Drosophila melanogaster: one gene and its partner. The protein of the gene in region 2 interacts with the protein of the main gene of each other region in a biochemical or structural test. Each region holds a gene or a part of one and is shown on either strand. Other genes may lie near its edges.

Region 1 (5,933 bases), on a different chromosome or scaffold from region 2:
GGATGCTCCGATTACCAAAGCAGGCGGCGATCTGCTGGTAGAATTGGATGCGAGATCCGCGGAACAGGAGGGCGAGAGCAACAACAAGGTGAATAGCAAGTGGCAGTGGTTCTTAAAACTGCAACCTCAAGTCTTCAAAACACATCGACTTCAACACACCATATAACCATTCTTGCATCTGGCGCTCCATTTGGTGGGCATGGAGCTATGTCCTGGGCGTGCTTCTTCTGCTTTCTCCACTCTGTGTGTGTTTCCCATTCAAATGGCATCAGATATTCTGCTGCTGGTAGCGCGCTTGTTGCCGTAGTTGTTAATACGTAGTTCGTTAGTGTTTGGTACATTGATTGATGTTGATTGAATTGCTCGGGGATTGCATGATATTTTTTGGTGATATAAAGCGAATGAAGTACGTAATACTAAACCGAGGATAGCGACTGCATTGTATTAACCGCAAGATACCAAGTCCATAAACACAACCTAAAACGCATTCATCCTAATCCTCCACACATGCACACCAAAATACAAATTTAGAAAACAGAAAATTATTCAAAACCCAACCCATTTATACCCCGCTCTGTCCTAACTCAATATCTGTTTGGCTGTCGTAACTCTTGGCTCTCACTAAAACCAAAGACCATAAATACACAACTGTACCTTAATGTTAAAAACACTACACACATACACACACACTCGCACACACAGTTCGTAAATCGCTTATTATTAAATACATTATTTTGTATACTATTTCGTTTTGTTTTTGCGCCTTTGTCATTGTCGCGAACTTTCTTTCCCCTTAATTGTTGTTGTTGTGCTTTCAGTTTTTAATAATTTTTTTTTTATGCAACACACAAAGCAAAAGCCTTGACCAGATAAACAACTAATAATTTCCATTGCGTTTGTTCACAGGTGGATCTCGCCAAGGATCTGAAGGAGAAGAATGCCGCCGCGGCAGACGTTACAACACAGGAACAACTGCCCGTTACATGCGAATAATCCTACTCATAATTATTATATATAATATTACATATTATTAAAAACAAAACAACAAACGATACAAGCAACAACAAAAGAACGCAACGTAAAACAACAAACAATTACAAGATAAACGAGATAAAAACAAAACAAAACAAAAAACAAGCAAAAATACATTTTTAAACATTTACATATTTTAAATAATTTTTGTACGAACTTCATATCCCTAATCCAAGATATACGCAAGCAAAAGTCCGAGTTACACGCGACACCACCATCCACGCCACCAATGCAACCACTGCAACCAATCACCACGCCCCACTCAAACACCACCCACGCGCAGGAATCAATAGTTTTTTTTATTGATGCCTCTCAATTCCAGATCGGGTTAAGTCCCCAAAAACACATCCATCACCCATCAAGCACACACCATCCACCACACAAGCGCATACATACCATTCTCATATTGATGATCTTGATAGCGAAAGAATCAACAAATCATATACGATGAAATGATGAAAGTGAGGAGAATTTTTTGAATAATTTCTACTATACATTTAACTGTAAGTTCGAAGAAATTTGTAAAGAATTTTTGGACGAAATATTGGATAAAATATATATTATAAAATATAAAACCCAAAAGCGTGCTTCACTCATATCCGCCGGCTGAAAAAAAAAAACGAGAGAGATAGAAACGAGATACGAGATACGATGAACCGCAGAAAGGAAACAATGTTTTGAATGTTTTAATTCTGTTTCGAGTCGAGTCCCAATCCTCTTCTTTAATACACTACCAAAATAGTTTTTCTTTACAATATACACAATGTAACAGAGTGTTACGAAAATAATCACTTGTCCTGGTAACTGGAGTAAGCGCTAAGATTACATTATATTTCGTAATGGTTAATTTAACGTAACAAAATGTTACTACAAACAAACTACAAAAGCTCCAACGAAAGCTTCAAAAGCGAAACAAACGAAACTAAGAAATGATAAAGAAAAGCAAATACTAACTTGTGCGTCTTTTGCAACTAAATAGAAAATCCTACTAAGTACACTAAATGTATTCAATAAATTAAAGCGTTAATTTTACGCTGCGCAACGTAAAGAAATATGGTCAACAAGAATTTGCCATCCAACAAAGAGGAGGCTTATATAGGTGAAACCAAATTGTTTCCAAATCAAATTCTAAATCTCAGCATCTGACAAAAAAGCGCTGCTTATGCAGGTGTAGTTGCTGCTGCTTCCGGCGATAATCCGGCACATTGCGGAGCATGAAAACGGCTGCGAAGAGAACGTAGAGCGACGACAGCATGAGGAGTACGGGAAAGGAGAAGACGATGTGCGCCATTCGGACCTTCCGCTGCGCTGTTGGAGGCGAATAGATGTAGTCACCTGCAATGATCAATGAGTTCATTTAGTTACCATGTACTGGGTACAGACTAATAGATATCGTTAGTTCCATCCGTTCCATACAACACAGGAAGAGACTTCTGTGAATGGATGGCTATGCTAGAGTAGAGTACCTACCATTCCAGCTCTTGTAGGCGCACCGCTCTCCATCGTAGTCGTTAACGCAGAGGCAGGAATGGAAGACTGTGTTGTTCACCATCGGATGCTGGAAGCAGTGGCCGCCGTTCAGGCAAAAGCTAGTATTGTAAGCTTCGCTGCAGGGCAGCATCTGAATCTCTGTCTCCTTGTCGTTCGGGCTGGGAGTCGTGGAGTCAGGCGTGCTGGACGAACTGGGGTCAGGTGGCGGTTCTCCGGTGTGGGTAACAGTTTCGGGTGTTGTCACTGTCTCGGAATCAGTGATTGGTGTGCTGCTTTCGCTGGCCAACCAGGTGTCGGTACTGGATCCGAGAATTATCCCATCCTGTTCCGGATCCGCAGCAATGGAGTCGTCTGCGTTTGGCAGTTGGCCGCCCGAGTCCGGATTGGGATCCGTATCGGGATGCAGCTGGTCTGCCTCCTCCTGGGCCGAGGCCTCCAGTTGCTTGCGCTGCAGCTCCAGGCGATTGAGCAACTCAACCGCGGTCTCCTGGATCTGCTGCTGCAGCTCGTGCGCATGCTCGTGCATGTGGCTGTGCTGATGCTGCACAATTTTCAGCGTATGCTCTCGGAGAAGTAAGATTCGGCTCGAACAACAATCTGCAGAATACAGAAGAAGGTGTGCGATTAAGAAAACAGGACATTTCCAGTGATCGCAAAGATACAGAATAGATAACGTTGTAAAGCTCAAGTTGAAGTACAAAAAGCTTTCAGTTTTTAGTGCGGCAACTTTTGAAATTATCATAAAAATGTCTCCCTATGGTATTATTATTACTAATTTTTTTAATTTTTAAGAATGCAAAGTTTGTTCATAAGGACAGTATTTAAATGAAACTCAAAAAAATCTTTAGAAATAATTCACAAATATGTATATTATCTGAAGTTTACTTCATTCATCATCCACGAACAGAAAGCTAATACAGGATTTTACACAGTTTTCAAGGAAGTTTTAGTTTTTTAGCATAACAAGTATATAATCAGCACTGCAAATATTTTATGATTTGTTGTAGCTGTTTTCCAGTTTTTTCGACGCTAGAAATAGCTTTTTTTGTGGGAGAGCCTGGCAATACTGGCCGTAATATTGGAATCTAAAAATCAGGTGGAGATTATGTACGTACCTGTGACGGCGACAATTGTTGAGAGCACGAAAATTACTTTGAAAATCCGAGTAAATGGGATTTGCATCATTGGAAAACGCTTGGGGTGGCGCTCCGAAAAATATTGATTGGGTGGACCGATTGTCCACCACTAGGAAAACTGAGTCAATGAAGGGGTCTAAACGATCGAGGGATCGAGCGGCGTGCTGGCCGCAAATGCAATTTGGCGTCGCAACAGAAGCTGAAACATACTACACACTTGCATCTCCTTGTGGATTTTACTGCAAAATAAAAATAGAACATTTTAGCGCCTCCACATTTTCTGTCGCACGAACGCACACACACGAAACAAAAAAAAAAGGAAAAGAAATAGCATTCAAAATTGGTGATCCAAAAGCTTTTCATAGATTATCTTAGACGTACTGGAGCTGCTATATGGCCTGTAGAAGGCTTCGACATTATAATTATTATAATGACTCGTGAATCATTTTATATATCAGGCAAGTAATTAATTAGTTAATCTAAAGAGCAGCAAGCGCGGGAAGCGGGCTCTTCTCTGCTCCACTTTGATTTTAGGTCTTGTTGCGCGCACGTCGGAAAAGAGACTGAGGAAAACAGAGCCAGAGAAACAGATGGACCTCATCCCTACATTGGCGGCATTGGCATGCGCCATGAATGAAATCGATCGGTGAGCGGGGAGAGCGAAGAGAGCGCCCCCAAAAGAGATGCGATTGCGACCGATAATAGTCGAAGAATCATATGGATATGCTAAGAGCTGCAAAAAAAAACCGCCCTTTAACAGTTATTCAATTTGTTAACGGCACTTTTCACTGCATACTTCTAGGGCACTATAAAGATATATTACTCTGTGAAGATAGCTGATAAGACTTAAAAATGTTTACATGTTTCGTACAAATATGCAATTGTAGCGATTATTATTTATATTGATAAAACAATTTAAAAGTCTTCAGCCAGATATTCAAAATTTAAAAATTAATGACCACTCATCTCATGATTTCGTCCAAAATATGATAATCGTTGATAATTAAAAACGCAGTATTCATTTCTTCGGACATTAATTTAGTTAATTTATTGCTTAGATTTATGCTTACCAACGAGTACAAGGCTCTAATTAGATATCAACTAATATCCCAGTAGAATTTGAACTATGACGCGGACTTGATAAAAAATAAATTCAAAACAATGGCAACTGCACATTAGATTTGTGGTTCTATCGGAGCAACTCCCAAGTGACTGTTTCCGAGGAAATCCAATTCGGAACACAGACTGATGACACGGCCTATGTCCTGAGGTTGGAGACACAACGGAGCATTGGCCGCCGCCGGTGGCAACTGTTCCAAAGTCTCCTGTTGCAGTTTCGCCGCCAAGGAGCGGCGCACCAATTTCTCAATAAAAGTGCGCAGCACTTGTCCGAGCATCGAGAGAGCCAGTGGCTGGGAGACGCCAGGCGGAGATTCCTCCGGTTCCAGTGTGATATTAATGTCCTTGCACATTTCCTGGACCAGCTGCAAGGTCGAATCCAAGTGCTTCGGCGGAGGTAGATAAAGTAGTTGGCGATGATTCACCATTTGGAAAGATACATCTGCTGAGTTTGTTAACCTGGACGCAAGCGGATGAGGTTTGTCCACACCCAACACATCGATGAACTCCTTATCCCGCATCTGTTGATCATGACCAAGCAGACGATCGGATTGCTTGGTTATCCAAGCTTCCAGCCGATTGCCTGAGCTGAGACTGCTATAGGCCGACAGTTGCGGTTGGGGCTCGCCCTTTAGTTGCGCCTGAACACGCCGAGCCAGTTGCTCCTCATCGCTCAGTTTTTGTTTTCTCTTTTCATGCACGACAGGTAAAACATCTTTGAGAGCTGGCGTATAACCATGAACCCTGGCGAACGCCACTATCTCCCGTAAACTCCAGTAGTGTTCCTTTCCACTAATGTCCAACTTATGCAGCTCGTGGTGCTGCATCAGACAGCGACGGAGCATACGTGCGCGCAGGTACTCAAAGCAACGTTGTTTTAGAGCAGTGTGATTGTGGAACTCTTCGAGGGTTATACAAGTGAATGGATACTCCTTTTGCTGATCAATCGACGCAAGCGGGAGGCGGCTCAGCAGGAACTCCACAGCACTGCGCATATTTCGGAATTGTGCACTTCTAAAGATGTGCTCCAGCCTTCGGGGTCGCGATTGTATGGTAGTGTCCACAATTGGAGGTAACAGCATTGGCTTTTCCTCCATCTCGCCGCTCATGTTGGCGTACCCATGATCGTGCTGCATGCACTGCAGCATATGCCAT
Region 2 (7,138 bases):
GAGAAAGCGAACAAATGTATACTCCTTGGTTTCATGAAGAAATAGGTTAACTTCCTGTATCCAGACTTCTTAAGCTGAACTGTCCTTTTCCAAAACAGACCTTCCCGGATCGTGACGAGCTGTTGCGCAACATGATGGGCCTGCTGGGCAATGTGGCCGAGGTGAAGTGGCTGCGGCCCAAGCTGATGACCCAGGAGTTCATTGAGGTGTTTGCCCGTCTGCTGGACTCCCTGAGCGATGGCATCGAGGTGGGTGGTGCTAGTGCGAGTGTGGTGGCGAGAGTGCGGGAGAGAGAGATGGCCAGTGCTAACCATGCCTACCTGCGCTTCCAGGTCAGCTACAATGCGGCTGGAGTGCTGGCGCACATTGCCTCGGACGGAGCGGATGCCTGGACGATCAAGACGCCCAGCCGGGAGCACGTGCTGGAGCGCATGGTGGCCGCCATTCAGCGGTGGAACATCAAGAGCGAGCGGAACATCAACTACCGCAGCTTTGAGCCGATCCTCAGCCTGGTGCGCTGCTACGAGACGCCCCAGTGCCAACATTGGGCTGTTTGGGCCCTGGCCAATCTGACACAGGTGGGGGAGCAATTCCTTTTCCCATTGTTGGTGCATTGTGTACTAACTTCTGCATTCCGTCACAGGTTTATCCCGAAAAATATTGCAAGCTGGTGGAGCAGGAGAACGGCATCCAGATCCTCAACGAGCTAATCGAGCACGAGAGTCCCTACTGCGAGATCAAGCGCATCGCTCGCCTGGTCATAGAGCAGTGCGACTCCGGATCGGAACGCATGGTCGTCGACGGCTAAGCGGATATTTAGGATAACACGTAGCTTTAGGAGTCGAGTTTGTTGTAATGTTTTTTTTCTGCTTCCTCTGTTTCCCGTTTTAAAGCAAGTGCATGTGTTATGTGGTTCAAGAGATTCTTCCTTGACTTTTATGTTTACAGCGAGAGCAGCAGATACATAGATGCAAGTTTAAACTATGCGAGAGTTAAGCAACTAAATCTAATGATGCAGAAATATTCGATAATTACATAATTACTAGATTATATATGTATATGATGTATCACATGTTGTAAGCCAGCGATCTTTTTAGGCCTTCAGAAGTGTAAATATTGTTAAAACCGGAAAGAGGAAGACATTGGAGTAGCAAGCAAGGCTGCTGGAGATTAAATAAATCCTTAAGAATTGAATTCCCCGTGGATCGATAGTTCTTTCTCTAGCCACATAGACGAGTGTATGGAATCTGTTCTTTGAATTGTGGTCATCATACGATGCTCACTTAACCCCCCCACATTTGCTGTGCTTTCGCATCACGAACCCAAGTAGCTGCAAGTTCAGGATCGGATCGTTCAAAATAATCTAGCTATATAATCTAGACCACTAGGCTAGGCTTAAGCAACTGTAAATATATTGCAAGTAACAGTTTTGAAAGTTCTGCGCTTGGCATTAATATTTATAACAGTGTACGTTACCATTAGTTACCTTACATTACGTATATACATATATATAATTTGATTCGTAAGCGACATCACGCCTGTGTCTTACCAAAGACCCTAGAATAACAAGATGCGTAACGGCCATACATTGGTTTGGCACTATGCAGCCACTTTTTTGGTGACGGCCAAAATTACTCTCTTTCCGCTCACTCCCGCTGAGAGCGTAAGAAATCTAAAAATATAATTTGCTTGCTTGTGTGAGTAAAAACAAGAGACGAGAACGCGTATAAGTGTGCGTGTTGTGCTAGAAGACGATTTTCGGGCCAAAATCAATTCTGATCGAAGAAACGAATTTACATGGTACATATTAGGGTAGTTTTTGCCAATTTCCTAGCAATATGATAAAATAAAAAAATTTTTAAAAATTCGCGCCCTGACTATTATAATTTTAAAGCTTTTTTAAATTTGTTTGTTAAAATCGCCGCTTGAATTAGCTACCGTTTACACATTTATATTTATGTTTAATTCTAATTTGTCTCTCATCTGACAATTTTTTAAAAGCGAAATATTTTTTTGAAACACTTTTAATGTTAATGTTACATCATATTAAGTCAAATGATTTAATAAATATACTAAATAATTAAATATGCAATTAAATTAAATTGCAAAAGTAATATCAAAGACAATAGAATTATTCTAGTGTCTTTGCTTTGTTCCACGGCCAAAAAATCGTGTGCCAAAAAATCGTATGGCGTTACGCATCTTGTTATTCTAGGGTCTTTGGTCTTACACTTTCCTTACCATCCAAAATCACACGATTCTTACAGTGGAACTTTTCTTAAGTTTATTATTTCTGCTTTTGATCGATTAAAGTAATTTTTAAAAATATTTTGGTACAGCTCTTACTCAAATAAAGCTCAGGAACTTCCATTTAACTTATCTATTTGAAATCATTATTTTTTTTTAGACATCATTAAAGAATGAATGCATCACACATTTAAGAAATCTGTTTTTATCATATTTAAAACGGATTTTTTGAGTTTAGGGCTAGAAAGTTTTCCAAATTAAAAGTTTGCTCTACAAAATACATTCATTAATTCGACTTCATTCATAAAACATCATTTCACAATCGCAACTTTGTAGCACAGTGTGGAGTGGAGTGTGCCAACCAGAGCTTTGTCTTCATCATATGTATGTGATATGAGTAAGTTTCAATAAAGCTGCATCTCCCGTGCAGTTTCATTCATCAAGTTTTCAGCAGTGAATCACTAACTAGTATGAAAACTAGTGATGATTTTAACATTGGCATTCCACGGTGCAAGTCGCGGGGTGTGGGGTGCGTAGCCGCTGTTATTATCGAAGTGCAGGGTATGTAAACATTAGGGGGTGTGAGTGGCCAGCTCTGGAATTGCGTCATGCGCCCCCTCGCAGAGCGGGTGGGTGGGCGCAGGGGAGGAAGGAAATGCCAACGGGTTGGAAATGCTTTCCAAGCTGAGCGCATGTGCCGTGGGAATCCGAATCCCCTGCATCCCCCAGAGAGACACTCTCTCTTCTCAATTTTGGCAGCTCTCCTTGGTCAGTTGTCATTTTGCCGGCGGAAAGTTCGCGTGTTTGTTTTTGCCTGGATGTAAATGTGCAATAGTTTTGCGTTCGCGGGTGCAAGCAAAACGGTAAATAAAAGTGAAATAAATGAAATAAAGAAAGCCAAAGGCCAAGCAGAGAAGCGCAAGCAAGAAAGTCCTGTGAACCAAATAGAAAGCAAAACACACGGGGGGTAGCAATCAAGCCAATTCTCCTTCAATGGAAGGAGAAGAATGCGCATTCCATTCATTCGCTAACAAAACCATTCAATCAATGCCAATTGCCTAGTTTAATTCAACAAAATGAAAACAAAATTGTTCCGGCAATTGACGAGGCGTAAACAAAATGCAAAACAATTGTTTGCCAGCCGGATTCTGCGCAGTGTGCCTTATATTTCCAGCAGGATCAATAACCTTCTTATCAGCGGAAAATAAGGGAAAACGACAACAAACCGTTGACTTGGCAATCAAAACAAAGGGCAAAAGCAAAAAGGAAATTTGTTTGCCGGCCATGAAATAGACTATGGTATTGAAAACCAGCAGCCTATGATTATCCGGAAGTATCTCTCTGGGCCCGCGGAAAGTGCAACAATTCTAGTAACGTCAAATTGCAACAAACTGATTTCACAGGCCCCCCCAACCCCAACAAACAGAAAATCTTAATTTCTTTTCTTAAGAAAACGAAATGAATGAATTATTTTTTTTATTCATCTCGACACAACCTCGGCGGCACTCGAACCGCCACTCGAAAAACGTGAGCACGCGTGAATCGACATCTCAGCGCACTCGACCAAATCGGTGGTGGAATTTATGTCGTTCAAACTGAACTGCCTCCAAAAGAGCTTTTGAGTTAAAGAGATTGAAAAGCTCTGCACAGTGGATCCACTTGGCGAATTTCGAAAACAAACATTTTAAAAATATATAACAGCTATTTACTTTTTTTGTTTCAAATTATTATTTAAATTTCTACAATATTGGGGAATAAAAGGACAGACAAGTTCGGAGCATAATACTTGATAATTACTTTTCCGCAGCTGAACTCTAATCGCTACAAACACTGCCAAACCACAACACAACGATCCGCCCTGATCCCAAAACCAAATCTGGATAGCCAGGAACAGCAGGATGTGGCCCGGCTCCGAGCGAGGAAGCTCGCGGGCCCTGGAAATCCCAACCAGCCAGCAAAATGCCGGCGGTAGTAGTCAGCAGGAGACTCTGGCCGACATCGAGCACATATCCACCATTGCCGGCTCCCTTGCCTCCATTGGATCCCTCTCGCACACCCAAATGCGCTATGTAAGGAGCCGGAGTTGCTTGTAAAGATCGTATCTCTAACTCTAATTACCCGCAGCAATGCACCAATGATGCCGGCTATGATACGGAACACACGTCCCTGAACTCGGACTTCGATGAGGCCGAGCTGCGACGGGAGCTACTAAGAGATGTGAGTTCCAATACGAAAATCCTGAACATTACTTATTATAATTCCTTCTTTCTTCACTTTACTTACAGAAATGGAAACTGCTCTTTGACATGGTGAGTAAGCCAACCCAAAAAGGAATACTTATAATTATACTTATTTATAATTACTTTTCACGCTTTGCAGTTCGATCCCGAGGGTTTTGGCGAAATATCAGTCGAGGAATTCCTGGAGGCCCTCAAGTCGCCGGAGTTCCTGTCCCAAGTGCCTATGAACAAGCGGGAGCTGCTGCTGGAGCGGGCAAAGAAGGCGAAGCTGCCCACAGGACCCGGCTACGTGACGTTCCAGGACTTTGTGAATGTGGTGAGTGTGCCGTGTGCCGCAATTACAATCGCCGGTGGTCACTGGCCAAGTAACCAAAGTAACCAAAGTACCCAAAGCACCCATGCCATGCGTATATTTGTCCCGGGCTGCTCATCAACGGCAAACTCGATTTAAGTGCAAACACAGGTGCAAAGTACTCACCCAGGACGAGGTCCAAAGTGTAGGCTCGTGTTCAAACAGACGGAGGACAAGGCCTCGTCCTGGCAGGAGCCGCACTCTTGTTTGGCAAATGCAAAAAGTGCGCTTGGCAAATAAATGCGCCGCTTACGCTTACACTGCGAATAAAAGGGGGTTACTTACTTTTATGCTAGTACCTATGGACACCTTGTTCCGGAAGCAGCAATGTATTTGAATGAAATACACTGCGCATTAAGTTATTTGAAGGATATACCAAGGACATCGATTGTAGAAAAAGTTAGACCATAGTTTTTCTGTATGTAAGCCCACGTCTCGTTTGCTTCCTTCGCCACGCTTGGCCAGGCATTTGAGTGTTTGTCCTGGTTACCTGGGCACTGGCTATTTGTCCTGATGTGGTCCGAAAATACTACCTTGGACTTGAGCTGTGCAACTGGAGGGGAGTGGGCGGCAGAGGTGACTTCTGCGAGCGAATGAAGCGCTTTTCTCGGCTTTTCCTTTGATTGGCAGGGCAATCCTATTGCATTTTGATTGATTCTACCCAGTTGATTGGCACGCACACAAACCGCACACGACAAAACACTCATGCATAATCAATTGCACAGTGAATATTCCTTCGCCTTGGCCGTTCGATTGTTTGCCAAAGTGTCCTTAAAGTCATGAATTAGCCAGGCCGACGTGTCCTCATTTGCCCCTGTGTGTGTGTGTGTAAGTGTGTGAGTGAGTTTGGGCAAAGACACTAGAATAACAAGATGCGTAACGGCCATACATTGGTTTGGCACTATGCAGCCACTTTTTTGGTGACGGCCAAAATTGCTCTCTTTCCGCTCGCTCACGCTGAGAACATAAGAAATCTAAAAATAGAATTTGCTTGCTTGTGTGAGTTAAAAACAAGAGACGAGAACGCGTATATGTGTGCGTGTTGTGCTAGAAGACGATTTTCGGGCCGAAATCAATTCTGATCAAAGAAATGAATTTACATTGTACATATTAGGGTAGTTTTTTGCCAATTTCGTAGCAATATGATGAAATAAAATAATTTTTAAAAATTCGCGCTCTTCTTATTATAATTTTAAAGCTGTTTAAATTTGTTTGTTAAAATCGCCGCTCGAATTATCTACCGTTTACACATTTATATTTATGTTTAATTCTAATTTGTCTCTCATCTGACAATTTTTTAAAAGCGAAATAATTTTTTTGAAACACTTTTAATGTTAATGTTACATCATATTAGGTCAAATGATTTAATAAATATACTAAATAATTAAATATGATAACTGTTTATTGCAAAAGTAATATCAAAGACACTAGAATTATTCTAGTGTCTTTGCTTTGTTCATATCTTGAGGCACGAAATGCGGACACAAGCACTCAACAATCATTGCCTTATTAATTTTTCACACGCCGCAAGATGAATACTCTAATGACAAATATTCTTATATAAAGTCATGTTTGAAATTGATTTTTGTGATAATATGTACATAGATTTGGCTTTTTCTAATCTATTTTCAAATAATAATAACGTTAAGGCAATGCAAAACAAGAATTTTTCGCATGGTGCCAATTGATAAAAAATAATATAGATTTAAAGTCTAAGAACTTCTACGGTGAAGGGCATATTTTGTCAAATTTACAATGCATGAGCATACGTGTGCACACATAAAGTTGTCTGCTATCACTGTATGCGTAGAAAAGAGCGGTTCGCTGTAGCGCTCTTCGCTCTCTCGCTCTCTAACAAAAATTCGAGAGAGCCTGGAGCCACCTCTAGAGCCACGGCCAAAAAATTGTGTGCCAAAAAATCGTATGGCGTTACGCATCTTGTTATTCTAGTGTCTTTGGTTTGGGTGTGTGCCTAACGGTAATTGCGGATGAGACCCGGGCCATTCTTTGCACAATGGATTTCCATTCCACATTCCCCCGGCGAGGACATTATTAGGTCCTTGTTTGGCCTGCTAATGCATTTGTTATTCCAATTGAGGGCTCCGTTTCCCTCTATGTCTCTCTCTCTCTCTCTCTCTCTCGCCTTGGCGAGCCATTCATATCTTTGCCAGCAATCTGAGATCCTTGTTGCCATCGTAGACAACATATTTCCACTTAATTATAAATTGCAATGATCTGCCGGACACGGGAGGGCATATTAACCAGGACCTGGCGGTGGAATCGCCAGGAATCCAGGAAT

What was found. The genes of interacting proteins can lie anywhere in the genome.
Region 1: of the proteins of stet (region 2) and grk, one has a biochemical effect on the other in vitro, tested with the Drosophila melanogaster proteins (one study listed by BioGRID).

Annotation. Positions count from the first base shown.
Region 1 is NT_033779.5:8,429,375-8,435,307, forward strand, and holds grk (gurken), read right to left. Parts: upstream 4,225-5,933; 5' UTR 4,041-4,224; intron 3,899-4,040; 5' UTR 3,709-3,898; coding exon 3,639-3,708; intron 3,121-3,638; coding exon 2,503-3,120; intron 2,368-2,502; coding exon 2,168-2,367; 3' UTR 1,712-2,167; downstream 1-1,711. Other genes in the region: Akap200 (A kinase anchor protein 200), read left to right, coding at 1-88, 907-993; D12, read right to left, coding at 4,835-5,933. UniProt on the Drosophila melanogaster protein: Critical for defining the anterior-posterior and dorsal-ventral axes of the egg. May signal directly to dorsal follicle cells through the receptor torpedo (top).
Region 2 is NT_037436.4:1,485,424-1,492,561, reverse strand, and holds the start of stet (stem cell tumor), read left to right. Parts: upstream 1-3,014; 5' UTR 3,015-3,110; intron 3,111-3,516; exon of another isoform or gene 3,517-3,656; intron 3,657-3,730; exon of another isoform or gene 3,731-3,823; intron 3,824-4,054; 5' UTR 4,055-4,145; coding exon 4,146-4,316; intron 4,317-4,371; coding exon 4,372-4,464; intron 4,465-4,532; coding exon 4,533-4,556; intron 4,557-4,626; coding exon 4,627-4,803; intron 4,804-7,138. Other genes in the region: CG12084 (uncharacterized protein), read left to right, coding at 99-578, 644-808.